Pelodiscus sinensis: one gene and its partners. The protein of the gene in region 1 interacts with the protein of each later gene in a pairwise test. Links are inferred from orthologs where the notes say so. Each region holds a gene or a part of one and is shown in the gene's direction. Other genes may lie near its edges.

Region 1 (7,668 bases):
GAATAGACCCAAGTTTCTTGAGTCCCAGTCCAATGTATTAATCACTAGGAGACACACCAACCATTAAGCCTACCATCTTATACCTGAAGGCATTTTCCTTTATACACTACTGACACTCAAACCTCTTTCTATCTATGCACACTTCTCTGTGCTTTGCTGGTTTTTGAACACCAAAATGTAGACCTTAAAGTAGCACCTTAAGTATGCCATCCATGACACTTGCTTTAAATGCAAATAAATCTGTTTCTAGAAGCATTCGATTTTTAATCTAGTCCTTTGTGTTTTTCAAACTTTAAACAGATGCCATCACTTTAAGTTTATGAAAGCCTCAAAAAGTTCTTCCTAATGTTCTCCATTTATACTGGAATTGTTTTCCTTTATACTAACAGGCATAATAATCTAAAGTTATTTGTTCTTCTTTAAATCTTTGAGCCTGAATTGAGCTCTGTGCAGGTGGATCGCAGGCCCATTCAGAGCCCTGATTTCAACAGGACTTCATATATGTGCAGAGATACACTTAGGCACAAGGCCTATACTAATATACTATGTTAATGTACAGAGTTTGATCTTTGCGCATATCACTGGATTTCTTCTCTTTTTTATAAAATGTTCTTTGTGTGCAGACCCCAATAAATCTCAATCTGCCCTTCCCTGGAATGAGACAAGAAATGCAGTTTCTTCTTGGAGAAGTCAGGTGTTAGAGTTGGAGGAGATAACTTGAATACTGAGCTGATTACAAGAGGCTAGTTTCAATCAGTGTAGCACTTGCTAAGGCTCCGTATCTGTCACAGAGATCATGGATTCCATGACTTTCCACAACTTCTATGATTTCTGGAGCGGTAGGTGATGCTCAAGCAGATGGCCTCAGGGATTGCTGATCAGGTGGTCCAGAGGCTAGCCACACTGGCCCCTGCTGCAGTGGATCTGCAGCCAGTTGCTTGGGTGGCCCAGCATCCAGGCACACTGGAGCTGCTAGGAGCAGACCCAGGCCCAGCTACAATGGCCATTGCATGGGTGGATCCAGGCACTATACCTAGGGACTGCCTGAGCAGCAGGCAACATGGCTAGCCACGGGGACTGCTTGAGCAGCAGTTCCAGAATCAGTGGGAGCTGACAGTACTACCAATCCCGGGCTTCATTTGCAACTCCGGTTGCTTGATTTGCCTACCTAGCTCAAATTAATGAGCTAGTGTAGACATACCCTAAGATGCTGCAGAACTATTTGTTGGGTTTTTTAAAGTTTTTCATAACTAAATTGTAGCCTTCGTGATTGCTATCCATAGATCTGTTACTTTCAACTTCCATGTTAACTGAGGCTACAGCTACACTACAAGCTTTTTCCGGAAAAGGAAATACAAATGGAGCACTCATTTGCATATGTTGCACTCTCATTTAAATTTTCTCTTCCTATCCTTTTTGTGGAAGAGCTTTTTGCACAAAAAAGCGCTGTGTAGGTGGCACCTTTTGTGCAAGAGCCCTTCTTCAGATAAAAAAATATAAGATAAAAAAATGAGGAAGAAGGGCTCTTGCGGAAAAAGGTGCCATCTACACAGTGCTTTTTTGTGCAAAAACCTCTTCCACAAAAAGGATTGAAGAGAAAATGCAAATGAGAGCATGACATATGCAAATGAGCACTCCATTTGCATTTCCTCTTCTGGAAAAAGCTTGTAGTGTAGCCATAGCGTGGGTGTTTAAATCTCATCTTTCAAACACTGGTACATAAAATTTGCTATTTAATACATATGTAGAGATATAAGTGGCTTGATCTGTAAGATTGAGAACTTTAGTCTAACTGCCTTTCAGAAAGGCTCAGGGTAACAGCACAAGGTTTAGAACCATGGTTCCTCAACTTTCAAGATATTATAGTCTACAGAGGTTGAAAGAGAATCATGAACCAAGAACACATTACATTATTAAAAATACTTCCAGCAAACTGAAGCTAAATCAACAGTAGAAAAAAAAATTTGAAAGCAGTATAACACAAAGATATTTAAACTTGCTAAAGAAAAAGGTAAAGAATGGCAAATCTCATTCAAGCAGAGCAATTGCATGTATACTACACAACAGCTTTCAGACCCTGTCATGAATAATAACTGTTTTGCAGAATTTTTTTGTTTGTTTGTTTTCCCCTCCCCTGCTTTCCACTATTGAAGAATGTAAACAAGACTAAGTTGATTGTTTTGGTTACTTCCTCTTGGATTTTGCTTCCTGTCCTACTGCCCTAGAATCTCTCTGTCCATATGTAAAGGAAAGGCAAAACAGTTTAGCTAATTATTGTTGCTGTGGATGGGTAAGTGCCTTAAATACAGCATGTTTCCAAAGTTATTTTCCAACTAAAAAAAATACCAAATTGCTATTTATGCCACAGGTCATATCACATAGTGGTCAATACCTAACTAATCTGTATGAGTACATTTCATTTTTCTCCAAGTATTTGAATATTGCCAGGAGTGGGTGGGAGGAAGGTGTTTTAAACAGTGGAAATGTTTTGAAATGGGAGAATAATTTGTGCTTATAATTGTCTTGATTTATTGATAGTGAGTTTTATTTGCATTAATTACTGCACTTTAGTTATACAATGTGGACTTTAATGTTGTATTTTAAAATTACATGCTATCACCTAGAGTGTATTGATAGCTACTTTTTTGGTGTATGTCTATAAGTCTAAATTTCCTTATTTATATCAAAAGACTGCAGAGAACAGTCCCTTCTCATGGCCTTTTTGCAATTTACCTTGTCATGAATTATCCTGCTACTACTCTCTTGGAAGTTAAATAACAACATTTGACCAATATAAAACAGTGGATTTTACAAAGGGCTAAGGGAGAGGTTAATCTCTCCCATTCAGAAAATATATGCCTTTGTGGAGCTTGAAAACTTGTCAACAAAAGTTGGTCCATTAAACAATATTATCTCACCCCCTTTGCCTCTCATATTGAGTAGAACACATTTGAGCACTCTGCAAGCCATCTGAAGTGGTGAAATCTTGGATGAGCTCTGGATGGGTGATGAGTAGAAAACTGAAATAATGACAAAGACAATTTCTCTTGCCTCTAACATATACATTTTCACATCACAAGCTATCAATGGGACACATCCGTTCCACTTAATTAGTCTCATTTAGGGCCCTATAAATAATTGACAGTCTTCTTCCGTTATATATATAAAACCCACTTCATCAGATGAATTAAAGTGGAAGTAACAGAATATATACACTATATATATTTCCACTCTAATTCATCTGATGAAGTGGGTTTTACCCACAGAAACTCAACATTCTATATATTCTTTTGTTAGTCTCTAAGGTGCCACAGGCTGTTTTTAATGTCCATCTGTGAGCCCAGGGGAAGATTTACAATGAAACATACCATATCCTGGCATGGGGCCCCCCAACGACATGAGGCCCCCCAGGGCTGGGCAGTTCAGCACTTGGTCCGGCAACACCTCCCCTCCCATCTCCTGCATAGGGGGAAGCCACTCTATGGGGAGGAAGGGGCTAAGTCCCTCTACAGAGTGGCCTGTGTGAGGAAGAAGAGAGCAGGGAAAAAAATTGACAATTTCAGCAATATCGACAATTGAAAGTGCCTTTCTACAAAATATTATGACTTAATTGATGATTTTGTAAAGAAAAAGCATAGAAAGGAAGCTAACAACATTTTTTTCAAATTGAATAAGTTTCTTCAGAGGAAGTTAACTTTTATTTTTCCATTCATTCATCATCTATGCATTTTATTCTTTTCACATTTTTCATGTTGGCTTAATGGAAATACAAGCTTTCACCTAGACCAGAAGTCCTCAAAGTAGGTCTGATAACTCCATTCAGGTGGACGTAGGAAAGATTTTTGGGTCCCCCCCCCCCATAAAGGGCTCTTAGCCAACACATTTTACCATAATTAGCTAATGGTACAAACAATATTTGAAAAGATCATTAAGTGGTCTGCTGAGATCCTCAGCACTTTTCAATTGGCCTGTGAAAAACAACCCAAACAATCAAGATACCTCACTTTATTTTCATCTACTCCTTGTTACTTGTGTAAATAGGAGGAGGGTGAAGGAAAAAAGGAATGAAAAATGTGAGGGGCAGGGCGATGTTCTTTTTCTTGGCTGGGTCCCAGGGGGGAGCCCCCCAAATGAAGCTGAGCGCCACTAAGGCTAGCCCCGCCACTGTGTGCGCCTCCGAAGGACCAGACCCTCCTGCCAGGATTGCTTATAGCGCCTAGTCCCAGCCCTGCTGAGGCGCGTCCCAGGCAGGACAGATTCTGCTCCCCCCGCCGCGGATCCCTGAGGCGGGGGCGGCCCCTTTAAGGCGTCGCCGTGCCCCAGCCCCTCGGGCCAGGGGGCGGTAACGCGGGCGGCGCCTTGGGCCTGACGCCGCGCCCTGCGCCCTATCGGCTGCCGGGTTCCTGTGAGCCGGGCCGGGAGCTCCCGTCGCCTCCCCCAAGGAAAGGCCGCGGCTGCTGGTGTCGGGACTCGCCCCCGCCCCCTTTCCCGGCCGCGGCGGCGGCTCCCGAGGATGAACGTTATGGATTTCAATGTGAAGAAATTCGCCGCCGACGCGGGCACCTTCCTGAGCCGCGCAGTGCAGGTACCGGCAGCCGGGCCGCGCCGACACCCGCCGCCGCGGGGCGGGCCCGGGCACTGCCTGTGGCAGCGGCGCTGGAGGCTGCGGCCTGGTGCTGGGTGGCCGCTGCGGGGCCCGGCGGCTGGGGCGTTGGTCCGCGCTCGCGCTCAGCCCGGCTCCTCAACCGGCCCCTCAGCTGGGCCCCACGTCCCGGCACGGTGGGGGGGGGGGGGTCGCACCCCGGCCCGCGGTAACCCCAGCGGGGCGCTCTGTGAGCTGGGGCAGGGCTGTCCCGAGCGGGGGTGGGGTTGTGACTCCGGGCGTACAATGAGCCCTGGCTGGTGCCAGTTCCGTATTGAGACGCTGGTTCGAAACGAGCGTCTCTTGCCTTCCTCTCGCGCCCCAGGTGTGAGCCCTCTCTCGCGCCCAGGGGTGAAAGCGGCCTCCATTTCTTACAGGTACTGGCCTATGGTAACCGGCCCTGCCAGCTCTTTAAACAGCTCCCTCCTGGCTTTTGCACAGCACAGCCCATTCGTGCCAGAGCTGTGCGCTAGGGTGCACCCTTTTATTTTCATCATAGAGTCCTAGGGCTGGAAGAACTTTCTGTTTGGGCCATGTGCCTTCACACCCTGCCCTTGGGCGCTTCAGGGAGTTGGGGAACCCCAACCTGCAGGCATGAGAGGGAAGGAGGAGTGGGGATGCTGTGGCAATGGGGCAGGGCAGTAAGTCCTCTATCTAGATAGAGCAACTGAGGCTTACACAATGTTGTACAATGTATTCACATGTGACCCCTTAACTGTTTAGGGCAGGGGTCTGAAACATTAAGATAAATGTCCACCAATGAGAAAAAAGTATCATGTGAAACAAACTAACATGGGTAGTGTACCTTTAGCAGCTGGCATGACTTATGAACCTAGCTGGACATCTTTTTTTAATGATTCAATCTCTCTCTAAGGAGATACTGGTAGATTTTGATATTGCTTTAAAAACTTTCTTAGTAGTCTTCTGTCTCCAAACTGCTCTCAACTTTTTAATGCTAAGGGCACTTTGTAACTGGCTCCTGTTCCTTAGCCCTGTGGTAGGGGGACAGGGGGAAGAGGGTCTTACTTCTCTTGTATTAGGTAACCATTCTTACAGCAAATCTATTCCCAAGGCGAGTGTAGCAGCTCATGTGGGGCGGAGGGCAGGGTATATTTTTGGTGAGTTGCTTTCAGGTTTTGGACTTGCTTAAAAATTGGGATGCAGAGAAGTCTAGCTATGAATTTGTTCATGAATAAATAGTTCCACGAGAAGGTGCATTATCTTTTCAAGAGCACCCAAGCTAGGGTGACCACATTTCTCTATTGTGAATATGGGACACTGACCAGGCACGGAGCCCGGTCTTCCCTTCTCTCCCCTCCCTTCCCCATGGTTCATACCAACTGTGTGAGAAAAGAGGACAGGGAGCTGAGGAGCAGCTTTAACCCTCTGTAGCAGGAGGGACGGGAACACGTGGCTGACTGCGCCATTGTACCAGCCACAGGAGCAGCTGCCTCACACTACCCAGCTTTGGCTTCCTGCCTCCAAACTGGCCAAATGGTGGGGGCAGAGAAGCGATGAGTCTGTCTTCAGTACTAACTTCCACTGAAACTTGGGGACTACATCCCCAGCACCTCCCACCTCTGCCTATGGGTTTGGGAGCTTCTGCCGCATGGGGGAGCACCAGGAATCTGGGATTCAGCCCTGCCACTCCTGGCTTCAGTGCAAACAGGACCAGGGTTTGGGGCTTCACCCTCTCGGTTCCTGCTTTCAGCCTTGTAGGGGCTGCCAGGGCTTTGACATTGAGCCCCAGAGATCCCAGTTGCATTGGTGGGAAGGAGAAGAGACACCAGGGATTGGATTTTCAGCCCGGGGGAAGTGGTGTACTGGGGATGGCATCTTCAGCCCTGCGACTTGTGACCACCTCTCTACCTACCCTGAGGCCCACATCTGCTCTCCCTGACCAGCTGCCACTTGCCCACTCTTACTGGCTATGTGAACAAAGGGGGCTGGGAGCTGAGGGGCAGATTGAGCCCCCTGCAGCAGCAGAAGAGGGAGCACCACTAGCTGCCCTGTGGATTGGGTTTCTTCTCTAACTTGGTGGGGGTGGGGGAAGAGAGCTGTGGAGCTCTCCCAGGTACTGTACTGTGTGTGCTAGAGAGCCCCACAATTCTGCCAACAGGTTCTGGATGCTTCTCCCCTTACAGGGAGCACTGGGCATGCAGGACTCAATCCTGCTGCTCTCAGCTTTAGCCCTACCACTCATGGTTTGGGGAGTGGAAGGAGGCAAGGATTGTGGCTTCAGTTTGGGGAGGTGCTGAGAATTCACTGGGGCATTGCAGATTAGGGCTTGGGCTAATTCAGTGCAAGAGGGGTCATCAGAGATCAAGATTTCAGTCCTGCAGCAGATGCCTGAGATTGGGGCTTAACTGGCAGACTCCTCCTCCTCCCCACTTGAGAAACCCTGCTTTAGGTTGCACATGGGGAAGGGTGATACACCCCTCACTCACTCCCTCACCATCTATCACACACAGGTTCCTTCTACTGGCTTCCTGTCTTTCTGCCTCTGCACCCTGCTTAAGCGCACCACCTGCTGGCCCCTGCCTGCCTGACTGCATTCACCTGCCAGCCACAAGCAGAAGGTTGCTGTGACTGTTCTGATGCTGACTGACCAGCAGGGGTGTGCTGGAGCAGAAAATGCTTGACAGCCCACCTTTTAAAAAAAAAAAAAAGTGGGACACCTGCAAGAGGGCCTAAATAGGGGACTGTCCTGTTAAAAACAGGATGGATGGTCACCCTAACCCAAGCCCTCTTTATTTGGGTGCTTATGAAAATTTTACCTTGTATTCATATTCAGTGGTGGCTGCTTTATCTTCAGGAGATGTCGCTGCACAGTGCTTATCTTCCCTGTCACTGTACACTTCTCTCCCCAGCTAGTATTCTATGGAATGATTCGGAGGGAATCTGTTTCCATAGATCAGGAATGGACAAGACAGCCTCCACAGGCTTGATCCAGCCTACCGCTGCCATTCTTACCCTCCCTGCACCCCTACATCTCAATTGGCCGGGGGTGGGTGAAGTTTCCTTCC
Region 2 (7,966 bases), on another chromosome or scaffold:
GCAACAGTGTGGCTATGTCTAGACTTTAGGCTTCTTTCCGAAGAAGCTTTTCCGGAAGAGATGTTCTGGAACAGCTTCTTCTGAAAGAGCATCCACACGGCAAAAGCACAGTGAAAAAGCAGTCTGCTTTTTTGAAAGATAGCGTCCACATTGATTGGATGCTATCTCGCATTGAAGTTGTGATTACTATGGACAGAGGGACCACCAGGGCTCCTGTGCTTTTTCCAGGAAGCCTCCTCTTCTTTCGAAAAAAACCTCCTCTTTCCTGTCCACACGCCTTTTCCCGAAAGAGCTCTTTCAGAAAAAGGCTTCTTCTTCATAGAAAGTGGTTTACCAATGTCAGAAAGACCCCCTGCATTCTTTCGACTTTCTGTCAAAAGAACGCAATTGCAGTGTGGATGTAAGTGTAGTTTTTCTGGAACAACTCTGCAGTGTAGACATACCGGCTGTGTCTACATTGGCACCCTTTTCCGGAAAAGGGATGCTAATGAGACAAATCAGAATTGCAAATGGCTGCCGCTTTTTTCCGGCTCGGGGCTTTGCCGGAGAAAAGCGCCAGTCTAGACGGGATCTTTCGGAAAATAAAGCCTTTTCCAGAAGATCCCTGATTCCTGATTTTAAGAGGAATAAGGGATCTTCCGGAAAAGGCTTTATTTTCCGAAAGATCCCGTCTAGACTGGCGCTTTTCTCCAGCAAAGCCCCGAGCCGGAAAAAAGCGGCAGCCATGTTCATGCAAATGCCACGGGGGATATTTAAATCCCCTGCGGCATTTGCAATTCCGAAGTGTCTCATTAGCATCCCTTTTCCGGAAAAGGGTGCCAATGTAGACACAGCCCCCCTGTCACGCTGCTGACTCATAGTTAGCATGTGGTTCACTCTGACCCCTAGATCCCTTTCTGCAGGACTCCTTCCCAGACAGTCGCATCCCGTTCTGTGTGTGGGACACGGATTGTTCCTTCCTAAGTGGAGCACTTTGCATTAAACTTCATCCTATTGACCTCCGACCATTTCTCCAGTTTGCCCAGATTAATTTGAATTATAATCCTCTCCTCCAAACCACTGGCAACCCCTCCCAGTTTTGTATCATCTTCAAACTTAATAAGCGTCCGCTCTGTGCCAATATCTAAATCATTGGTGAAGATATCGAACAGAACTGGTCCCAAAACAGACCCCTGGGGACCCCCCTTGTTCTGCCCTGCCAGCAGGATTATGAACCGTTAATAACGACTCTCTGAGAACGGTTCTCCAGCCCGTTATGCCCCCGCCTTAGAGTAGCCCCATTTAGGTTGTATTGCCCGAGTTTATTGCTAAGAAGGTCGGACTGTGTGAAATGCGTTGCTAAAGTCTGGGTATCCCACGGCCACCGCGGCTCCCTTCTCCACAGGACTCGCGATCCCATTGAAGAAAGCGATCGGATTGGGGAGCTGGCTTGAAAGCTGCTTCCTGCCTGCCCCTGCGATGCTGCCTCTGATATGGAGGCAGTAGGGGGGAGGTGCATGTCGTTCTCTGGATGAACCGATAAGCGGCTTGCTGGGCAATTGTTTAAAAGGCCGATCGCTAACATCCCCAGTGGGACTGCGGAGGGGGAGGGGCTCCGGAGATGAGGGGAAACAGGCTGGATGGGAGGGGCTGGGGCTGAAGTGGGGCAGGAGATGGGTGAAGAGGAGCCAGTCGGGGGAAGGGCTTGGCTCCCCCAAATCCCTCCCACCTCGCTGCTGCCTGGGGTCTGGGGGTGCCGAGGGACGGGGCTGGGACCTGGCAAACTCGGGTCTGGATCATTTCCTCCGGGGGGGGGGGGCAGGGACACGGGTGAACCCCGCCTCCCAGCCCTTCGCCCTGCGGATGGGGGCAAGGTGGGGTCAGAGTGGAGGGCAGGCGGCACTTTGGGGTCAGGGCAGAGGCCTCGCAAGGGGGCATGTATGGGAGGGGCACAGGGTGTTACCTGGACTGGATGGACCTGTGGGTCAGATCTGGGGGGCAGAGGGATGGTCCCGGGCTGAGGGGCGTGAATCTGACCCCTCCCCTCTCTCCCCAGCCAGAGAGGCCTGGCAGCTGAACAGGCTGGCTGAGGTGACCCCTGGGGGCAGCTGTGGGGTGGGGGCTCCATGGTGATTCCTCCCTGAGCCACTGAGGGAAAAGCAAGAGAGCTAGGAGCCAGGACGCCTGGGTTCTCTCCCCAGCTCTGGCAAGGCAGTGGGGTCTAGTAGTTAGATTGAGGAGGACTGGGAGGTAGCTCACAGGCCGGGCTCACCTGGGGCTGAGATGCAGCCACCTCTGGAGCAGGGCAGCTGGGAACAGCCACACAGAACGCCACACGGGGACGCCTCCTGCAAACTGCAGGGCCCCAAACTGGGAGCCAGCCCAGACACCTGGGTTCACATCCTGTCCGTTGGGGGGCGGAGTGGGGCTCGGGTTCACTTCCAATCCGCAGGGCAGCACCCCCCACCTATCCCGAAGGGGGAGCTGGGTAGGGGTCACATCTGGGGTTTTTTGTCCAGTGCCCTCTCCAGCTGCCAGGTTTTTCTTCCCCCTCCCTTATGGCTCTGGTCCTTGGGGTTTGACCCGGACGCCTGGGTTCACACTCCCCTTCTCCCCCCCACCCCCTTTCCTTCTGTTCTTCCCTTCCCCATTCGTGCCTCCTCCATATTCTTGCTGCTTTTCACCTCCCTCCTGCCTTCCCCTCGTCTGCTCCCCTTCCCTGTGCACTCACCCTTCTTCCATTCACTCAGTCTGTCCTTTGCCCGCCCGTCCATCCCTTGGGATGCTCTGTCCCTCAGCTGGGCTCCTGCCTCCCTCCCTCCATCCCCCACCATCCATCTCACACCCACCGTCCTTCCTTTCTAGGGGCCGAGTGGGCCACACGCTAAAAACGAATCAAAAGGGCGACGCTGTTGCAAAAACAGCAAACGTGATCCTGGGAGGCACCGACAGGAGTGTGGGGAGCAAGACAGGAGGAGTCGTTCTCCCGCTCTGCTCTGCTCTGCGCTGGTCAGGCCTCCGCTGGGGGATTGTGGCCAGTTCTGGGCACCACGCTTCAAGGAAGATGGGGAGACATTGGAGAAGGTCCAGAGAAGAGCAGCAAGACTGATGGCCGGTCTAGGGAACAGGAGCTGGGCGGGCAGACAAAGAACGGGGCTTGGGCAGTTTGGAAAGGAGAGGACTGAGGGGGACATGAGTGAGGCTTTTCAGGTATCTAAAAGGGTGTCACAAGGAGGAGGGAGAAAACTTGTTCCCCTGGCCTCTGAGGACGGGACAAGGAGCAAGGGGCTTGAATTGCAGCCAGGGGCGTTTAAGTTGGACCTTAGGAAAATCCTCCTGCCTGGCAGGGGGTGACACGCTGGGATCCATTGCACAGGGAGGTTGTGGAATCCCCATCTCTGGAGACATTGAAGAGCAGGTTGGATAAACGTCCATCAGGGATGGGCTAGACCATGCGGGGTCCTGCCATGGGGTCAGGGACTGGACTCGATGACCCTCGCGGTCCCTTCCAGTTCCGGGATCCTACGATTCCGTCCAGCCCTTGGGACGTTCTGCCCCTCCGCTGGGTCCCTCCCTCCCTCCCTCCGTGCACCCCCACCCCCACCCTCCATCCATCCACCCTCCAGCCAGCCCTTGGGATGCTCTGCCCCTCCGCTGGGTCCCTCCCTCTGTGCACCCCCACCCCCACCCTCCATCCATCCATCCACCCACCCTCCAGCCAGCCCTTGGGATGCTCTGCCCCTCCGCTGGGTCCCTCCCTCCGTGCACCCCCACCCCCACCCTCCAGCCAGCCCTTGGGATGCTCTGCCCCTCCGCTGGGTCCCTCCCTCCGTGGACCCCCACCCCCACCCTCCAGCCAGCCCTTGGGATGCTCTGCCCCGCTGCTGGGTTCCTCCCTCCCTCCCTCCGTGCACCCCCACCCTCCATCCATCCATCTCCACACCCATCGTCCACCCACCCACCCTCCAGCCAGCCCTTGGGATGCTCTGCCTCGCTGCTGGGTTCCTGCCTTCCGTTCATTTTTCCCTCCATTCATCTCTGCCCGTGTCCCTCTCTTCTCTCCTCCCTGCACTTTCCCACCACCCAGCTCTTTGGTCTTTGCCCTGATCTGCTGGTTTTCTCCTTCCTCCCCCTAGTCCATCTTCCTGCGTCCCTGGGCCCTGGCTTTTGGGGTCCTGGCTCTGCCCCCCAACAGGGGGGCTGGGATGCACTTGGCCACGGGCTGATCTACCTCCTGCCCTCCACACCTGCAGGGAGGGGGCGGGGCCAAGGGTGCCTCCTAGCTGAAGCCCTGCCCCCCAATGGGGGGGGGGGAGAGTTGCAGGGCTATGTCCCTCATGAATTCTATTCTCTGTTCTCCATGGGACTGGGGGGCTGCACCGGGGGAGAAACTGGAGTGTCAGAGAACCCCCCCCCCCCCGGTAGCGGGATGGGGGAAGTACCTAGAGGCGCAGTACAGAAGTTGCATCAACCCAGATGCCAGCAATAGAACCCAGGACTCCTGGCTCCCAGCTCCACTCCAACCACTAGCCCCCACTCCCCTCCCAGACCCACGGAGGGAAGCCAGGTTCTCAGCCCCGCCCCTCCGCCTCTAGCCACCACTCCCCTCCCCAAACCAGGGAGAGAACCCAGGAATCCTGGGTCCCCTCCCTCCTACTCTAACCACTAGTCTCCCCTCCCTTCCCAGACCCAGGGAGAGAACCTAGGGATCCTGGGTCCCCTCCCTCTCACTCTAACCACTAGTCTCCCCTCCCTGGCCCAGGGAGAGAACCGAGGAGTCCTGGCTCCCGACCCACCTCACCCCCGACACCGGGATTCGAACCCGCCACCCTCCATCCCCCGCTCCCTTTGCCGGGGAGTGACAGTCCCCCCTCGTGACGTCACCTCTAGCTCTTCCCTCCTGCGGCTGACCCCCGCCGGAGGCTGTTCCGGATCTAGCCCTGCCCCCCTCCCTCCGCCTGTCTCCAGACAGCTCCAAGATGGAAGTCCTCAATCAGGTACGCACCTGGCTAGCTCAGCACCATAGACAGCGATCGGGGCGAGCGGGGATTCCAGAGGGGGGGGGGGGCACGGGACTGTCGGCTCCCCCCCCAGGCAAACCCCCCCGCACCTCCCCTGGGCTGGTGTTTTGCAGCAGCAGCTGGAGCGGTTACGTCCAAAGGCAGCGCCCTGCGAATCCGGGGGGAGGGGGCAAGCGGGGGGGGGCAGGGTATTTGCTGCAGACGGGGGGCAAATCTGAGCTGGGTGCGTGGGGGGCACAGAGGGGCTGGATGGGACGCGCTGAGGTTATCGGGGGTAGCATCTTCCCCGGCTGCAGATGGGGGGGGGGGCTGAAAATGATTCGGGGGGGGCAGGTTGGGTGTAGGTAGCTTGCAGTTGGGTGGGAATTGCAGGCTGTTTGGTGGGGGGGGCGCTAGGGGACAGGGTAGCTCCCTGCTGCAAGGGGGGGCGAGTCCAAGATGGGTGCGTGGTGGGCACAGATGGGGGAGGATGCAGGGATCTGACATTAGGGGGGGCCCAGCTTGAATGCAGGCAGACTGCAGTGGGTCTGGGATTGCAGGGCATGGGGGGGTTCTGGAGCTCGGCTATTCCCGTGCTGCAGAAGGGGGGGCGATGGGCTGGCCGTGTGGAGGGAGGCTCGGCGGTGGCGCTGGGGGGATGTTACCAGATATGTTGGAGTGGGGGGGAGGATGACACCCCCCTCCCTTTGCAGCAGGGGTGGGGGCGGGGAAGGAAGATGGCTGACCTGCTGCAGTGAATTCATTGCCTGCCGTAGCGCTCGGGTGCGGGGGGGGGGGGTTGTGGGGCTCACGCAGGGAGGGGGTGAGACTATTCTCCCACCAGCTGCTGCTGCAGAGCCGGGCTTGGGGGGGCAGGGAACCCTTGGGTGCAGGATGTCTTGGCTGGAGGAATAGGAGGGTGCAGACCGGGGGGGTCGCGGGGGGGTTTAACTCGGGATAGCGAGTTTGGGGGTGAACATAGGGCCACAGGGGTTGGGTGGATACAACCTGGGGGGCAGAATATTCCCCCAGCTGCAGCAGGGGGGGGGAATGCAGCAAAGACCCCCCCATTGGGCAGGCGGGGTTGAGGGATTCAGGTGGGGGGGCTGCTTATGAATCGAGGTTAACATGGACCTGCCCCCAGCAGGGGGGGCCGGCCTGGGGGGGCTGAGCGCACTGAGGCCTTTCCCGTATGGTTATTCCCCGTAGGGAGCCGTGGGAGGAACCGTCTTGAGATGGGTTTTCTCCCCAGCATGGGCAGTGGGGTCTGGTGGCCAGGACTCCTGGGTTCTCTCCCTGGCTCGGGGAGGGCAGTGGGGACTAGCGGTTAGAGTGGGGGGGGGCTGGGAGCCAGGACTCCTGGGTTCTCTCCCTGGCTCAGGGAGGGCAGTGGGGACTAGCGGTTAGAGTGGGGGGGGCTGGGAGCCAGGACTCCTGGGTTCTCTCCCTGGCTCGGGGAGGGCAGTGGGGACTAGCGGTTAGAGTGGGGGGAGCTGGGAGCCAGGACTCCTGGGTTCTCTCCCTGGCTCGGGGAGGGCAGTGGGGACTAGTGGTTGGGGGGGGCTGGGAGCCAGGGCTCCTGGGTTCTCTCCCTGGCTCAGGGAGGGCAGTGGGGACTAGCGGTTAGAGTGGGGGGGGGCTGGGAGCCAGGACTCCTGGGTTCTCTCCCTGGCTCGGGGAGGGCAGTGGGGACTAGTGGTTTGGGGGGGGCTGGGAGCCAGGACTCCTGGGTTCTCTCCCTGGCTCGGGGAGGGCAGTGGGGACTAGTGGTTGGGGGGGCTGGGAGCCAGGGCTCCTGAGTTCTCTCCCTGGTCGGGGGGGGGCGGGCTGGGCGTAAGGGAGATGGCAGCTGTTTTAATATCCGTCCCGCCCTGCCCCCTCTGTCTCCGCCTCCGCCTGGGTTCCCAGCTCGTGGCAGGGGGGCAGTTCCGGACCCTGAAGGAGCCGCTGGGGTTTCTGAAGCTGCTGGAATGGGTGAGTGCCCCGTGGCCGGCCCCAGGCCCTGGGGCGGAGGACTCCTGTTTGCACGGCCTCTGAGCTGGCCTAGGCCTGGGGAAAGGCCCTGTGCCCCGCCCCACCTGAGGAGCAGGATGGTGAGGGAGGGGCTGTGGGGTGTGGGAAGGGGACGGATGAACAAGGGGTTATCACAGCCTGCTTGCCCGGCACTCCTGGGGAGATCAGACAGCGAGACACTTCCAGGCCCCTGCTGCTAGTTCTGGAGCACTTCCAGACTCCCCTCCTCCTCCTGCTGGTTCTAGAGCACTTCCAGACTCCCCTCCTCCTCCTGCTGGTTCTAGAGCACTTCCAGACTCCCCTCCTCCTCCTGCTGGTTCTAGAGCACTTCCAGACTCCCCTCCTCCTGCTGCTGGTTCTAGAGCACTTCCAGACTCCCTCCTCCTCCTGCTGGTTCTAGAGCACTTCCAGACTCCCCTCCTCCTCCTGCTGGTTCTAGAGCACTTCCAGATTCCCCTCCTCCTCCTGCTGGTTCTAGAGCACTTCCAGACTCCCTCCTCCTCCTGCTGGTTCTAGAGCACTTCCAGACTCCCCTCCTCCTCCTGCTGGTTCTAGAGCACTTCCAGACTCCCCTCCCCCTCCTGCTGGTTCTAGAGCACTTCCAGACTCCCCTCCCCCTCCTGCTGGTTCTAGAGCTCTTCCAGACTCCCCTCCCCCTCCTGCTGGTTCTAGAGCACTTCCAGACTCCCCTCCCCCTCCTGCTGGTTCTAGAGCACTTCCAGACTTCCCTCCCCCTCCTGCTGGTTCTGGAGCAATTCCAGACTCCCTTCCCCCTCCTACTGGTTCTGGAGCACTTCCAGACTCCCCTCCCCCTCCTACTGGTTCTGGAGCAATTCCAGACTCCCCCCCCCCGCTGGTTCTGGAGCACTTCCAGACTCCTCTCCCCCTCCTGCTGGCTCTGGAGCAATTCCAGACTCCCCTCCCCCTCCTGCTGGTTCTAGAGCACTTCCAGACTCCATTCCCCCTCCTACTGG
Region 3 (7,779 bases), on another chromosome or scaffold:
CTAAAAGGTGGAGGTCACAGCCTCCCGGCATGATACAGAGAGAAGTTGAGGCGCTAAACAAAGAAAAGAGGATCTAGCTCACCTGATGCACAAGGGGGATTTTCCAGCCAGTAAAAGCAGTGACTTCCCAAAGATCAAAGTGGCGAACATATGACCCGGGGGCTGGATCAGACCCCTGGCTTGTCTGGATCCGGCCCCTGAGGCTCCTGTACCCTCCCTCTTGCCCACACTCTAAGCTCACTTCCTGGCAGCCCCCTCCCACACACTGAACCTTTTGACCCCACTCCAGAGCCTCGAGGGACCCACAAAATCTACTAGTCCCCCCCCCCCCCCGGGGCTCTGGTGTGCAAGGGGAACGTGGAGAGGGTCCTTCTGTTTCTCAGTCAGGGCCACGTCAATGATTTTTTTTTGCATCTCACTTTAGTGCAGCCCCCAATGGATTTTTCTACGGCCCCCAAAAGTTCCCCAGCCCTGCAATAGATCCAGCTGGTGTTACCTCTGCTCCACCTCTTGCCCCAAGGTGACACCGTTCTAAGCATCACGCCTAGAACCAGTAATGAGGAGGAGTCCCTCCTCCGTGGGGAACTAAATTGAGTTCCCGGGTGGATGAGCAATTAAAAACCCAGCTCCGGTTTGCTCACTGTGATCTTTAACCGTATCGTAGAATCGAACAGTGGGAGTTGGTACTGGGTTCCAGGAACATTTTTCCTCCCCCTCACTAGCCATTGTCATCACCGCCCCAGAGAGGGCTGCATGTCAGTGGTGTTGCTTGAACATAGGGCCTGGTCTTGGGAGATCTGGGGGTGATCTGCGAGTCTGAGGACCTAGTTCTTTATCTGAGCACAAATAACAAGGTAGCTTCCCAAAGTGGCCTTTTCTTTTCTTCCCTGAGCTGTCTCTTTGCCTGCAGACGGACATCACAGCAGCGGGCACACGAGCAGTTATGTGGAGGGGGGAACAATAAACGTTTTTTTAAATCCACTTTTAATTTCACTTTTGTTTGCCTGTTGAGTCTAAGAACATCTTCCTTACCGAGGCACAGAGGTGTACGGATTCTCTGCGGCAGCACAACAGAGATCACAGAAGGTGGATGCTGGCTTATGCTCGACAGGGTTATTAGAGGTCAAAGAAAAGGGTATGGTTCATAAACATAACGGGCTTGCTTTGTTGTTAAAACGTTTCAGATCTGCCCTGGGAGCAGTATGGGTACATCTATACTACATGGCTCTGTCGACGGAGCCATGTAGATTTGTTTGTTCGGCAAAGGGAAATGAAGCCGCGATTTAAATAATTGCGGCTTCAATTAAATTTAAATGGCTGCCACGCTCTGCCGATCAGCTGTTTGTTGGCAGATTGGGGCAGTCTGGACGCTCCCCTGCTGACATGAAAGCCCTTTATCGACCTCCCTGGTAAACCTCATCCTATGAGGCATAACGGGGAGGTCGATAAAGGGCTTGCAGGTCAGCGCAGGAGCGTCCAGACTAGTGCGCTGAGCCGACAAACAGCTGATCGGCTGTTTGTCGGCTCAGCGTGGCAGCCATTTAAATTTCCCAGGCTTCATTTCCCTTTGCCAATCAGCCTAATCTACATGGGTCCATCGATGGAGCCATGTAGTTTAGACACACCCTATGTGAGGAGAGAAGGGAGGTGCCCGCAGGTATGAGGGGCAGTTTTGTATTTTATTGTGATAGCTAGAATGGGTTGAACCTCTCAAGTCTGGCACCCTTGGGACCTGACCAGCGCCAAACTAGAGAATTTGCTGGACCACGGGAGTTGAATAATGTCTAATAAGGATGTTTAAGTATCGACTAATTGACTAATCGAATAGTTGAAGCATTTTGCATGGACTATTTGATTAGTCGAGAGGGCGCCTCTGCCTTTGAAGTATAGCAACAGCCCTAGGGCGAAAGCGCTATATGGAGCCTGACGCCAGGCTCCTCGCGGCGTTTCAAAGGGGCAGTGCGGCACAGAGCACAGGATCAGCGGGAGAGTCCCCAGCTGATCCCAGGCTCCACGTGGTGTTGCTGCTTTGAAACGCCGCATGCAGCTTGGGGACACCCCAGCTGGCCCCAGGCTGCATGCAGCATTTCAAAGTGGCAGCGTCGCATGGAGCCTGGGGTATGGCCCTGGGCTCCACGCAGCGCTGCTGCTTTGAAGTACCCCCTCCGCTTCCCCCCATTGCTACTTCTATCTGATAGAGGCAGGCAGGTGGGGGGAGGGAGGAAGCGACTTATTGACTAGTCCTTCACACGCCTATTGTCTAGCAGCATTACCAACACTTCCACTGCTTACTGGGCTCTGAGAAGACACTTCGGGGTCAATTAGAGCTAAACAACAACACAGAACACTGAAAGCCAGGACTGGTGGCTGTTAACGAACTTTATGGGACCACAGGAAACTTGGCTACACCCACGATAAGTGGACATCCGGCTCACTAACATCATGCCGGACCACAGATGTTGCCAGACCAGAAGGTGCCGGACTAGAGAGGTTCAACCTGCAGTTACTTCAGACGACCCCTACTGGTGTTCAGTGATAACTGCACCCTGGTTTGCCACTTGCTGGCTGAGCCTCACCCTCAGTGAAGGGCATGCTCATAATGGAGGTCGACCCCACTCATTATTACGCTGCCTTGCTTACCTGGCCTATGGAGACCCTGGGGGAAGTGCCTCTGCATTTCTCAGGGGCATCGCTGGGCTTACAGAGGAGGCCTGTCATGGCGGAGGAGCTGTAACCCAGCTATTTAACGTGGAGCTGCCGCTGACGTCTGCTAGGGAATCTCTCCAATGGAGGCCCGTGGCGGGAACTGGCCCTGTGAGCGCTAGCTTTCGTGGCGCCCCTTTCCCTGTGCCCTTGCTATTTCTTTCTTGCATGGACAAGGCCCTCCGCTCCCCCTATGTGTGTGATATGCTTCACCAAAGCTCTTGGCCATGTGTTCAAAACATATCTGATGGCCAATTACAACTTTGAGTTCAGGAGCTGGCCCGTGGACTTCCGATGGGATGAGGCCGGCTGCCCAGGGAGGAGCCCCGGCCACAAGGCTGCGTCCCAGACCACCGCCCAAGAGGCTCTGCTGAGATCAGCATCGCACGGAAGGCCTACCACTGCTCAGTGTAGCTGTCTCCGCAAGATGAGGCAGTTGCCTAGCCGGCTGGTCTGCTACGTCATGGCTCACTCCTTAGGCCGGTGGCTGCTTTATCCTGGCTCCCTGTACGTCATGCAGAAAGCCCTGCTGCCTTTACTGGTGAAGGGGCAGGCTCGCCTGCTGGAGGAGTTTCACGGGAAGCGGGCCAAGCTGATGGCGTGCGACGGGAACGAGATCGACACCATGTTTGTGGACAGGAGGAAGAGCGCAGGAGTGGAGGAGGAGCAGCGAGGGAAGCGGCTGGTGATCTGCTGCGAGGGGAATGTGGGTTTCTACGAAGTGGGCTGTCTCTCCACCCCGCTGGAGGCCGGCTACTCGGTCCTGGGGTGGAACCACCCGGGCTATGCTGGAAGCACGGGCCTGCCCTTCCCGGAGAATGACGCTAACGCGATGGATGTGGTGATTCAGTATGCCACCTGCCGCCTGGGTTTCCCGGTGCAAGACATCATCCTCTATGGCTGGTCCCTGGGTGGCTACACAGCCACCTGGGCTGCCAAGACTTACCCAGAGCTGGGGGCCCTGATGCTGGACGCCACCTTCGACGACCTGCTCCCCCTGGCCCTGAAGGTCATGCCTAAGAGCTGGACCAAGCTGGTGGTCCAGACGGTGCGGCAGCACTTCAACCTCAACGTGGCCGAGCAGCTCTGCAGCTACCCGGGGCCAGTGCTGCTGATCCGGAGGACCCACGATGAAGTCACCACCACCCACGTCCGCACCTCGGACCAGCTCGCTGACATCCGGTCCAACAGAAGCAACGAGCTGCTCCTTCAGCTGCTGAGGCACCGCTATCCTGAGGTCCTGTCCTGCGAAGGGGAGGCGGCGGTCCGTCACTGGCTGCGAGCCGTCAGCCCCACGCAGGAAGAGGCCGTCTGCAGGCGCTTCGAGGTGGAGGACGACTGGTGTGTCAGCAAGTTGCAAAGCTACAAATCCTGCCTCGGAGGTGAAGACAGCTTCCCCTGGAGGGTCGGGAAGGACTTGACCCCCAGGAGAAAGCAGCAGCTGGCCTTGTTTCTGGCCAGGAAGCACATGAAAAATGTGGAGGCCACACACTGGTCTCTCTTACTGCCCGATGAGTTCCAGATGCCCTGGAAGCTATAGCTGGGGAAGGGTAGGACGGTTACCCCAGGGGGGAGAGAGAGAGGTTGGACTTAACAAGCCGGGGTTTCCCTCTTCAGTACGCTCGTGGTGTGTGTTCCCAATCTGAGCGCCCAGTAAAGATGAAGTGATGAGCTCTGCAAGCACCAAGGAGCATTATTTCACCCCGGGGGCAGTGGATGGATGGAAATTAAAGTGGTTGAAAGATTCGTGACGTTGAAAATGATTTGCAAATACCACTGGGTCCCAGGAAGGGGGGCAGGCCAGGGAAGGGCAGAAGCTGGCTGGTTTTTCACCCCGTCCACCTGGCCATCTTGTGTCCCCCCCCCAGCTGCTGCCCAGGGCATTGTTGAGCTGTGACTCAGGGACCTGAGAGGTGGGATTGTGACATCACTGTGCTGAGAGGTGGGACAATAGCGGTGAAACGTCCCACCCACTGTGTCCTCCATCTCCCGAACCCCTGCTCCCGCTGGGCATGCGGGCTCCTGGGAGAGGTACATCACCCCACCCTTCTTCTTCGCCCCACCTTCTCATTTGCATTTTGCACTCTCATTGGGTGAGTCAACGGCCTGGACATGGCAGGCAGACCAGCTGCTCATAGGGTATGTCTAAACTACATGCCTCTGGCGACAGAGGCATGTAAATTAGACATACCGACATAGTCAGTGAAGTGGGGATTTATATATCCCCCACTTCATTAGAATAAAAATGGTCGCCACGTTGTGCCGGCTCAGCTGTTTGTCGGCACGAACCGGCAGTCAAGACGGGGATCGGTCGACAACGAAAGCCTTTGCCGACCAATCCTGTAAACCTCGTTTCATGAGGCATAAGGGATCGGTCAGCAAAGGCTTTCCTTGTCGACCGATCCCCGTCTTGACTGCCGGTTCGTGCCGACAAACAGCTGAGCTGGCACAATGTGGTGGCCATTTTTATTCTAATGAAGAGGGGGATATTTAAATCCCCACTTCATTGACTATGTCAGTATATCTAATTTACATGCCTCTGTCGCCAGAGACATGTAGTCTAGACATACCCTTAAACGTGGATTTCACAGGGGTGAGGGGTGTAAGGACGCCCAAGATGGTGGGACTGGTTCTCGGTTCATCGTCACATTGCAGCCGAAGCACCCGATTTGGTAATTAGCTAGTCAGTGTTTCGTATAGTGGGAAAGAGACGGGCTCGTCCTCATACAGGGGCCCGCCATTGGCTTCGTGCCTCCTGGAGTTTTGGCGCGGGACAGCGTGCGGCATTCACGGGGGGTGGGGGTGGGGAAGCTTTCAGAAGCCATCTGTGGGGTCAGTTTCAGTGCTCAGCACTGGGCTGTGAGCAGTGACCGAGGGGGATTAGAGACTCTCTCCGGAAGGAGAGGCATAGACAATCTCTCTGGGGAGAGATGGGGAGATCCGGGACCACTGGGAAGGCTCTCCAGGGAGGGCTGAAGGTTTCAGGGACATGGGGGGAGGATTTAACTTTTTAAGACCAGGCCGGGCGAAATCAGCCAGGCACGACCAGGCAGCCCCTACAGGGTGTGAGGGAGGGTGTGAGGTTAGGAGGCACCTTACAGGAGCTGCTGCTGTCACAAAGGGCATGGTGAGTCTCCATGGGGCTGGCTGGCATGGAGGTGGGGTAGAGGCCGCAGGGACAGAGCAGCCTGCCACTTCTTTGCTTTCACTACAGGAACCTTGTGCTGCAGCCCGGGCGTGGGAACAGGCAGCAGGCGACTCCTTAGAGCCCCCAACCCATCTTGGTGCCTCTCCTGGGGGAAATCCGGGTGCAAGAGCTTCTCATGTGGGGGATCACGCCCCTGCCCCCACTGGGCAGCAGCCGGCAGCTGCGTTCGCTTGCCACCAGCAGGAGCAGCAGAGGCGGTAAGTCCCCAGAGAGGCTGGGGCGTTAGATGGAAGAGGCCAGGGCCATGGAGCAGAAGGGAAGCACCACTGGAAGGGAGGGTAACAAGAGCGTGACTTGCGTCAGAGCTGTGATTTGGGGTTCCTGGCAGGAGGGCAGGGTGTGGGGAAGTCTGCGGGTGAAAGGCAGAGTGGCCTAGGGGACAGTGCACAGCAGGCCACAGTGGCAGGGACCAGTGTTCCCTGTCAGCCGTGCTCTTGTGCGGCCGCTCAGGAGAAATTCCAGTGCTGCCCAGCTGATTTGCAGAGTTCTCACAGCTAGGTTTGTGTTTCTCCAGGTGGTGCACATTCACACATTCCTCAGTGCACATAACAAAACTTATTCCGTTCATATATATATATATATATATGGAAAAACATCCGCGCATGGATGGAAAAGATTAGAGGGAACATTGACAGGGACTGCTCCTAGTGCTGGGTAAGTTACTTAGGGCCAAGGTCTGTGGCCCACATAAGGACTGCAGCAGGTCCGGAATGTGGCAGACAGGATCTGCGCAGATCTACCAGCCAAACCGTCCCCTGGGGGAAAGAGACAGAGATATTAGTGGTGGCTGGGGACTGGCTCTGTTGCCTTCATAAGGAGAGTGCATTCTCCCCAACATGCAACCACTTCCCCTGGACTGTGCGTGAGTGAGAAGATACGGCCATTCCCCATTGTGTGCCTCAGTTTCCCCATCCCAGGTGGGGCTAATAACCCTTCCTCCCCACCTCACAATGATGGTTTAGGAATGTGGAGTTAATTGTCAGATGCTGGGGAAAGGTGCAGTTCTAGGCAACAGTGGTATGGCCCTGTCAGCTGACACAACTTGCTTTATTTGCTTGTATGAGTGCAGGCCAGGATGTCTTTACAGGGACCTTGTTGGGTCCTCACAGAGGGGAAGGGAAGGGGGCGAGTGGTGCTTGGTGGGCATTGCTGGTGGGTCAGGATTTTCTCTCACCGAGCCCAGTTCATTTCTGATTCCAAGGGACCCCACAGACTAGAGGAGTCTGAGCAAAGATCAGCCCCTGAGAAATGACAGACTGGATGTGTTTGTGCCCACCGGGGGTGGATTCAGGGTTTGTCCCAGGTTCCGGAAGCAGCTGGTGCCAACAGGAGCCTGAGCCCTGGGCAAACCCTGGCATCTGATTTCAGAGACCTGAAGCAGATGGCAGAAACAGCCGCAGCGCACACGTACTCCTAGGGCTGCGGGTTTCATGTGCTGCCGCCAGAAACCAAACAGATCTCCCATCTGACGAGGAAGGAAGTTTGGTGGCCACACCCGGGCTGAGCTGGACAGGCACAAGGTGTGCTGCCCTGCAGTGCCCCCAGCTTTCTCTAGACGTGCAGCCGGCCCATGGGACTCAGGCTAGCATCCCCCTGCCTCTCTGAAAGCCACAGGATGCTCCCTTTGCCCTTCAAGCCTTGCCTCTCTCCATTCCCAGCTGCACGCAGCACGGTCGGGAAGCGCTGCGGGTGCATGTGTGTGCCGGGGATTAGCTATGTGGAAGGGGAGAGTACACACCGCTCCCGTGGGGGCGTAGGAGTAAATCTACCAATTATACATCCTCTGCTCAGGGCCCCATGCGCAGGGAACTGAAAGACAACAGGGCCCAGACCTGATGCAAATGTCACAGGCTGCTGTGGAATAAAGA
Region 4 (8,333 bases), on another chromosome or scaffold:
ACTAAGGGTTTTATCTCGGAATCGCACTTCTCTACCGTGTGTAGATGCAGGCAATTACTTCAGGCTAGTCAGTTTCCAAAATGGCAACCGGCCAGGAATATGCTAATCAAGAGCGGGATATTTAAATCCTCCGCTTCCTTAGCAATTTCGGTCGCCCTCATTAGCCTCCCTAGTTCGAACTAGGAGGCTAGTGTAGACGTACCCTGATCTCAAACAAAGAAGAGAGAAAGAAACCCCCCTTTTTCCCGGTTTGAAATTCCTATCTGCATTTTTATTGGCTGACTGCCCAAACCCCCTCCCTAGGTGCATCTCCAGTTGCTTAATCCTTTCCTCTCTCTTCAGGTAAGTCAGAGTCTCCTTAGAAGCTCCTATTTATGACACCTCCCATCCTCCCTAAGGGGCACCCGAGGAGTGGCAGGGTCGAGGCTGGGCAGTCCCAGATTTCGGGTTGCCAGGTGGTTTCAACAAAAATCCTGGACACACTTGACGTTACATCACAATCTACAGTGCGTCTTATTCAGAAAATACCGGACGTTGATATTTTCTCATTGATATTTTCTCAATTTGTTTCCTGAACAGAAAGCTCAAATACTGGACTGACTGTCTGGTTCAAAACCGGACCCCTGGTAACCCTACCCAGATTGGGGAAGGGGAGTTGCGCCCAGCCAGCCTCTTTCACCTGCCTGGGGGTCCTGTCTCTTTTCTGTATGGTTTAATGAGAAGCAATCCTATTCCAGGCACATCTCCTTTTTCTGGCACAACCAAACCCTGACCTTTCTTTAAGTTAGGACAACAGGAAGCTGTGTGCCGCATTTTGTGGCTCTAGCTCTGACTGTTTAGGAGGACTTCTTGAACAGATGGACAGACAGACAAATTCTCTTAAATATATAGTAGACAAAGATAATTATCAGGGCAGAATGCCATTTGGGGGACAGTCTTCGGTCATATTAAAAGCTATTCTAGTATTGATCTCACCCATTTGTGACTGCTCGCATCACTATACTGAGGGTAGTGGATCGTAAGTGTACATTCGTAAATAAGAGCTACATTGTGTGAACATACAAATTGTTAACAAATGTAAAATAGTAAAATAAGGAAAGTTACATCACCAGAAAGCAACCTCCAGATGAAAATCTCAATCTTCCAGCACACCTTCCGATTCTGCAAGCACCGCTCCCTCATCTAGCTGCAAACAAAAACGGCAACCTTCCTTACCTCTCACCTACATCCGTGAAAATGCCTCTTAAACTATCGACCCAGCACTGAATGCAAATATAAACCTAGTCAGCATTCACTTGAGTAGTCTCTCATTAATGGCTAACTAAATGCATTGATTTTCATTTACTCAGTGGAAAGTGTGAAAACGTAGGGAGTATCTGATCTAAGATAAAGGAATGGCTACTTTGCACAGTGTATAAAAAGGGTAGCTTGCAACACCCCCACCCCCATGTGTACAATATGTCATATAAACACATTGTCACAAGGCATACTCACTGGTGTGGTGCTTCCTCGTGGCTGCATCTGAGGAATCGGATTTCCTCAGGTCTGACACTCCCTTGTATCATGTGTTCACTTCACAGCCTCTCTCTCTCTGTGACTCTGCAGGCTTTCTCTTTCTAACTCAGCCCTCCCCCTAGGTAACTATACAATCCACACACACACCCTTTCCAGGGTATCAAAGTCCCTTCACACCAGCTGTCTGGTTGCCATCTCCCATAATCCTGTGCCACTTAGTGACTGGTAGAAGAACCCAGGCCTGCCCACTACTCCTGGTTCCAGCCCTGGGACTTTAAAATCAGCAGCCATGTCTGCACAATCTCTAAGCCCTTTTTCTCTTTCGCTGGGCTGCTTCCTGATCCACCTTCAACAGGGTTTCCTCTACACCTTCCTGGGTAAATCCCCTCTAGACGTCTCAAATGCTGGGTCTAAATTAGCTATAACCACTCATGAGAGAGGTCTTGGAGTCACTGTGGATCGTTCTCTGAAAGCCTCCACTCCATGTGCAGCAGCAGTCAAAAAAGCAATCAGAATGTTAGGAATCATTGTGAGGTGCATGTAGTAGGAGATTTCTGCTTGGAGTTTATTTGCTGAGGCCTTAACTGTTCATTCCTCTGTTCTGAATGCTTGTGTGCATGGCGTTAGCTATAGGTCAGCGACCTTCATTGGCACTCCAAGTGTGGATTTTTTATTATGAATTTCCTTGTTTTCTCATTGCACCCAGTAAATTCTGCAGTAAGAGAAAGGACAAAGGGAGAAATGCTGTGAAACAACAAGACTACCATGTTTCCAGATAACGCTGTGTGTACAGTATAGCTTGCCATCTGCCTGGCTCTTATCAACCGCTTTCACGGCAGATGCAGCCTTAATTGTGGGACTGCTAATACACTCTCTGAGTGACTGATGTGTCAATTAAAATGTGTGTTTAGGTCTGTCTTCATCTTTGACTCTGTGTGCATGTGTTGTATGCATTACTGGATATGCACGTCAAACAATAAAGGGTTTTATTTTGCAAACAGGGCTACTGTGTGGGAGTGGTGGAGTGTGGCTTTTCGGTGGTATATTGTAGTCAGTGCTAGAGCAAGAAATGTATTGAAACTCAACAGATCAAGTCACACAGGGCTTGGCCTGTAAAGCACTGAGTGTCGTCCCTTCCCACTGAAGTCAGATGCAATCTTTGACCACAACCAATCGGCCTAGTGTCCTAGAAGCAAAAGGCTCCGGAGTGTCTGACAGATCTTCCTGAGCCGTCTTCCACCTTCTCCCTTTGGCACTTGTCCTGGATCTTTGCCTTTTGAGGTTTCTGGGTACCGGATCCTTTCCCCACTGAAGTTAATGGGAGTTAGGGGGGAGGGATAGCTCAGTGGTTTGAGCCTTGGCCTGCTAAACCTAGGGTTGTGAGTTCTATCCTTATAGAGACCATTTAGGGATTTGGGGCAAAAATTCATCAGGGATGGTACTTGGTCCTGCTATAAAGGCAGGGGACTGGACTTGATGACCTTTCAAGGTCCCTTCCAGTTCTAGGAGATAGGCAATCTCCATTATTATTATTATGACTCTTAAGTGAAGCAGCATCAGACCCTACATTCATACATGTCACTGAATGCATAGGGTTGAGATTGGGATTTCCAAAAGCACTCAAGTGATTTAGGAGCACACAACTCCCATGGAAAGCAGTGTGTTCCTAAATCCCTTGCACCCATTTGAGTATCCCCACCTGTGGTGACATTGAAAATAACGATCCTGCCTGGCCAGTCTGCAGGCTCTGGGTTGGGATTATAATCCTCACCCCTCTAGGCACTTTGCTGACTATTTCTGTACGAGTGGAGTGACACATCCAGCTAAAGCAGAAGTGATAGGTGCTCTCCCAACATTCCCTTAATAGCCGTTTATTTTTTACATAGTAAAATGTGATTTTCATTGTGCCGGTGACATTGAGGAATGAAAGGCTGAATCCTGCTCTTCCTGCTGAGTGTCAGAAATAGATCTGGAAAGACGATGACTCACCTGTAATTGAGAAAAGTGAATGGCATCAGAATGGTATTTAAAAGTTAGCTTTTTCTGACTCCATCTGCCAGGAAAAGGGTGTGGATTAATACAAAGGCCCAGGTTGGATAGGTGGGGCTGGCATAGAACACAGGTAATGCTTTGCACTATTATGGTATTTTGTACACAAGGGTCTCAAAGCATTTCTCATATACCTGCATGTTGTGGGTAGATCAGTAGTATTACCCACATTTCACTGGCTGGGAAACTGAGGCACAGAGAGGTGATGTGGGTTGCCCAGGATCAGAAGATGAGTCAGCCACAGAACCCTAGGGTTCCTGACCACAAATGTATTCAGGTCAAAAATGCAGGTGGACTCCTCTTGGTTACTTTTGCTGCTTCTGGCCCAAGCCAAGTGATGATGTCAGAGTTGTCATGGCATCGGTATCTATGGAACCGAAATCGTCATCATCACCGTGAAAGGAAAACTAAATAAGGATGTGGCGCTTCCTGGGAGAAACTCCCTTTGGAATCAATGGGGGTTCCCCTCCACAGGGCCTGTACCCGATTGCTTTTTTCTTCTTCCTCCTTTCATGGAGGGGAGTAGCTGAGGGAAGGAGAAGAGGTTGCTCCCTCCAGCCTAACAGAATCTGTGGGTGGCAGGATGTTGTTTCTCAATTCCTGCAGGAAGAAAGCACAAGCTACAGTCCAACTGCCTTTCACTTCCTATTTTTAGGCCAAATAACAGGTACACGGTAGTCTAGTGACTAGCTCCCATGCCTCTAGCAAAGACACAGGGTTCTACTGGTCAAAAGCCAGCAAATGCACCCGTCACTACTCCAGGGCTGACACCACCACCTTTTGCTTTGCATCTGCTCCCCTTAGATATAAAACAAGGGTCCCGCCTCTTTGGATGGGGTCTTTCACTTAATGGCAGGGGTGGGAGGATGAGGAATACCTTCTCCCAGCATAGGCTACATCCTTGCTCCTTAGATTCCTGTCTTCCCTTCTTTTCCGCCGGCCACCCGCTGCAACTGGGGTCAGGCGGCTGTCTAGTCAGGGGTAGCTCTGTGGGAGGCTCTCCTGTCTGAGCTGCCTGAGAGAGGGAGGACAGATGCTTGGGCTGGAGCTGCAGTTGTGTAGGACTGGGCCCCTGTGGGGGAGAGGGGGAGAAGGTGGGGGGAGCGTTCAAGAAACCAGGAAGCATATTTGCAAGGGGATGGGCTGAGTGTGTGGGGGTGGGGGGTGCTGCTTTTCCCTACCTGCAAGGTTACTTTTTTGCCCCTCTGCCTCGCCCCCCCCCCCCCCCGTGCATCTCCTAAACTAGCCTAACTGCCCTTTCAAGGGGGGGGCGTAGCCCCCCTGCAGTAAGGGGAGGCAGAAAAGCAGCAGGCTATTTGCAGGGCATGCAGCCTGAAGCACCCAGAACACCAAACAGCCTCCTATGCAAAGCGCAATGCCGGAGCCGGCGTACTCAGGCAAGACAAGGTGTGAACAAAAATCGAAAGCGATCCGGGTGCAAGGAGGATGCACCTGTATGCTCACCCAGCCTTTTCGCCTCTTCCCTCCCCCCCCCGCCCTTCCTCCATGGTACCGCCCACTCCCTAACACACAGACGAAACCAGACGAGCCCACGCGGCCAGGAACAGGGGGTCAGCGGCAGCGAGGCGGGCTCCGGCTGCACCAGCCGCGCCAGGGGGCTTGTGCGCGAGACGCGGGCACCCGGGCGGGCAGGCAGCGGCGCGAGCCTCCCCCACTCCCTGCCGGCGCGCGCCCGCTGGGGCGCTGCTGCTGCTGCACAGCCCGGAGCCCGAGAGGCGACGCCGCAGCCCGCCTGGGGAAGATGGAAGGAGCGTCCTTCGGCGCGGGCCGGGCCGGGGGGGCCATTGACCCGGTGGATTTCCTCAAGCAGCCTCAGGCCATTCTCCGGATAGTGTCCTGGGTAAGGCAGCGCGGCGGCGTTTGCAGCGGGCATGGCTCGGGGCGGTCCCTGCTGGGGGGGGGCTGCTCCCCTTCCTTGCCCCCTCCAGCCTTGCCATGCAACGGGGGAGGGGGGAGCATTCGCCAGACATACCTGGGGGCGCGCGGCTGCGGGGTGGTTTGCATTTGGGGCGGGTGGCTTGTTTTATTTCGGCCATGCAAGAGGGAGAGGGAATGGGCGCAGCACTGGGGGGAAGGGGGGGGGGCTAAACCATTTTCTCTGCCCAGTGGGGGCTGTCATTCCGTCCAAATGACAGGAGCCATAGCCCCAACTGCTGGGAGGGGGGGCTGCATTATGGTGATTATTTGCAGAGTGGAAAGACCACCTCTGCCCCCCTGGGGGGGTGGAAGTCTTTGCTTCCTCCAAAAAGGGAGGGCATTTTCAGGGCTTTATTTTGCCACTGGAGAGGGGTCATTTTTCGCGGTCTCTTGTCTTTTCTGATGCTCAAACAGATGGGAGGGGGAGCAGGAAAATCCGGTGGAAATAGGTGGCCAGGAGACATTTTTCTTCTAGACTTCACCATCCAGCCCTACCGAGATCCCTGTCCTTAATGCAAAATGATAGAAGGGTTGGCTGGCTGGCTGGCTGGGGTTTATTTTAATTTTATTTTCAATTCCTGTGGCTGCGCCGAAAGCGTAAGACTGAATCCGTTTTCCGGGTGCCTGCTTTAGGGTGGCTTTGATCTTTGGTGTTCTGTGGGCAGTGACATGGAACGCTATGTAAGGAGCTTTGCCTCCGTAGATTAGGCCGACAGATGCAAGGGTTAAGGCCCACGCTCCACCCATAACGCGCCTGGTTAGCCTCGGGTTTTATGTGCTGAGACCTGCAGGTCTGTGCTGACAGCTCTTTGGTGAGTTGGGAGCTTCATGCCTTCTCCCACAAGACCTGAGCCAAAAGCCCACATCACAAAAATCACCACTAACGGGGTGCTCATGCGGGTCCCCTGGCCAACCCCCTGAGCAGGCAGCCTTCGCAGAAAGGCCAGGGATTGAGCGGGGCGGTGGACTCCTTTTCCCAGTTAGAGGCAGAGAGGGTTCCTTTAGGTTCAGGATGAGATGCAGAGGTGTGCGGGGGAAGTTTGCATTGCTGTTCCCCTGACTGTTCTGAGGATTTCCAACTTGTTCTGTGGCTTGAGGCCTTCAGACTCCAGAGCAGTCACTGTGTCACCTTTTCAGGGCAGGAAATGCACTGTCAAAGCTATTTTAAGTGCAGTGGCCAATTAAAAACCTCCTTCTTTCTACCTTTCACTGCCCCCTCTCCCCAGCTTTATTCTTCATTCTCGAGGCTTTACTACCAGTTGCCCCTGTCCTGGGCCCTGATCCAGCAAAGCATTTAAGTGTACGCTTATCTTTAAGTACAAGAATAAAACTGTTGAAGTCAGGTGCTTGAGGGCTTTGCTGGGTCAGGCCTATAACTCATTCGCCCGTGCTTTGAGAACAGGACGGGCACGATTATTTGCGGGGCCTAGTTCAGATATATGGAGCAGGAGTGTGACCTATTTTTGTGTGTACACACACACACACACACACACACACCTATTTTTGTGTACACACACACACACACACACACACACACACACACACACACACACACACACACAAATAGGCTATGTTCCACTAGCTAGAGATAGATATAGTAAGATATCTGGTGGTGCAAAAAAATATGTTCTTTTTTTAAATGGCAAAACGTCATGAACCCCACTCCAAATTGTCAATACGGCCGTTAGCCCGCTGTGCGTGAGGCCTGAGTGTATCTCTGTATTTTATACTGCAGCGCGCGCGGGATGGACTTTGCGATCGCGCTGGGTTTAAAATGGACGTACGTATTTCGACCTATATTGTGTATGTCCTCAGGCACGTCTTACCCCTACAAAACTAATGTAGGTCCATAGGTATTTTTAATATAATTTGAATTTTTAATCGTGGGTGTTTAAATATGTAATAAAATAAATGGCCTCCATCTCCAGTACATGAGAATAGTGCCTAGGGCAGGGCCAAACATAAAGTGCGGGGCCACATGTGCGGGAGCTGACTGCCCACGTCTCACGCCGGCCCTGTTGGAGAGAGCATCTGAATGGGATACAGTGTGCACAAAACTGGGCCCAAAATGTCAAATCCAGTTGTGGTTCTTTTCTTCGGATGGACGCAGTGCGTGGCCGTGACGTGCGGCTTATGAAGCATGGAAGATGGGTGCCTCTGTGAAACAGGAACAGAATCCACACGATGGCATTAAAAACCAGCTCAGGAAAAGTTCCCACGCATGCTTAGTGGATGAGTGGTCAAGAAGGAATCTTTGGGGAATTTAAAACCACAAGGGACTGGTCCCAAAGTGAGAATAAAGGGCCTGAAATTGCCCGTTCTCCCACATCCGATCACTTCTATGCCTGTAAGTAGCCCCATGTTCTTTTAGTCTGTTTGTGTGCTTACATTTAAGCACACGCACAGGCCCGTATGCAGGAGTTTCTTTGGGGTGAGGGGGGGTGCTTTTTTTTTTTTAAATGTGGACAGCGAGGGTGCAAAACCCCCCCACCGTGGTCCCCCAAATATGCGTGCTCTGGCCAGCTGGGGGAAAGCGGGAGCCGTGTGATGCCTGAGCCTCCCTCCCCAATACTCCAACCGGCCGGGGGAAGGCTGGGGGCTGATTCTCCCCGTCCCAGAGGGAGACCCAGCCCTACCTCCAGCCTCGCTCTTGCGGGAGAGGAATCAGCCCCAACTTCCCCCGGCTGGCCAGAGCATGCTTACTTGAGGCTCCAAGGTGGGGCGTTCGCACCCTTTGCACACACCCCCCTCCATGTATGGGCCTGAAGCATAAGTTGTTTGCAGGATCAAGGGGCCTGATCCAAAGCCCATACAGTCAGAGGGGCATCTTT

What was found.
Region 2: the proteins of SH3GLB1 (region 1) and SYP interact in binary tests that used the Homo sapiens proteins (3 or more experiments, as listed by UniProt). The link is inferred for Pelodiscus sinensis from reciprocal best matches to the Homo sapiens genes SH3GLB1 and SYP.
Region 3: the proteins of SH3GLB1 (region 1) and TPD52L2 interact in binary tests that used the Homo sapiens proteins (3 or more experiments, as listed by UniProt). The two-hybrid records come from large-scale screens. The link is inferred for Pelodiscus sinensis from reciprocal best matches to the Homo sapiens genes SH3GLB1 and TPD52L2.
Region 4: the proteins of SH3GLB1 (region 1) and SYNGR3 interact in binary tests that used the Homo sapiens proteins (3 or more experiments, as listed by UniProt). The link is inferred for Pelodiscus sinensis from reciprocal best matches to the Homo sapiens genes SH3GLB1 and SYNGR3.

Annotation. Positions count from the first base shown.
Region 1 is NC_134719.1:31,007,254-31,014,921, forward strand, and holds the start of SH3GLB1 (endophilin-B1), read left to right. Parts: upstream 1-4,333; 5' UTR 4,334-4,513; coding exon 4,514-4,585; intron 4,586-7,668. UniProt on the Homo sapiens protein: May be required for normal outer mitochondrial membrane dynamics. Required for coatomer-mediated retrograde transport in certain cells. May recruit other proteins to membranes with high curvature. May promote membrane fusion.
Region 2 is NW_027466045.1:75,007-82,972, reverse strand, and holds the start of SYP (synaptophysin), read left to right. Parts: upstream 1-4,871; 5' UTR 4,872-4,958; coding exon 4,959-4,976; intron 4,977-6,887; coding exon 6,888-6,953; intron 6,954-7,966.
Region 3 is NC_134728.1:3,879,915-3,887,693, forward strand, and holds the start of TPD52L2 (tumor protein D54), read left to right. Parts: upstream 1-4,659; 5' UTR 4,660-4,796; intron 4,797-5,917; 5' UTR 5,918-6,026; coding exon 6,027-6,108; intron 6,109-7,779. Other genes in the region: ABHD16B, read left to right, coding at 2,897-4,243.
Region 4 is NC_134726.1:37,696,682-37,705,014, forward strand, and holds the start of SYNGR3 (synaptogyrin-3), read left to right. Parts: upstream 1-5,104; 5' UTR 5,105-5,326; coding exon 5,327-5,425; intron 5,426-8,333. UniProt on the Homo sapiens protein: May play a role in regulated exocytosis. May indirectly regulate the activity of the plasma membrane dopamine transporter SLC6A3 and thereby regulate dopamine transport back from the synaptic cleft into the presynaptic terminal.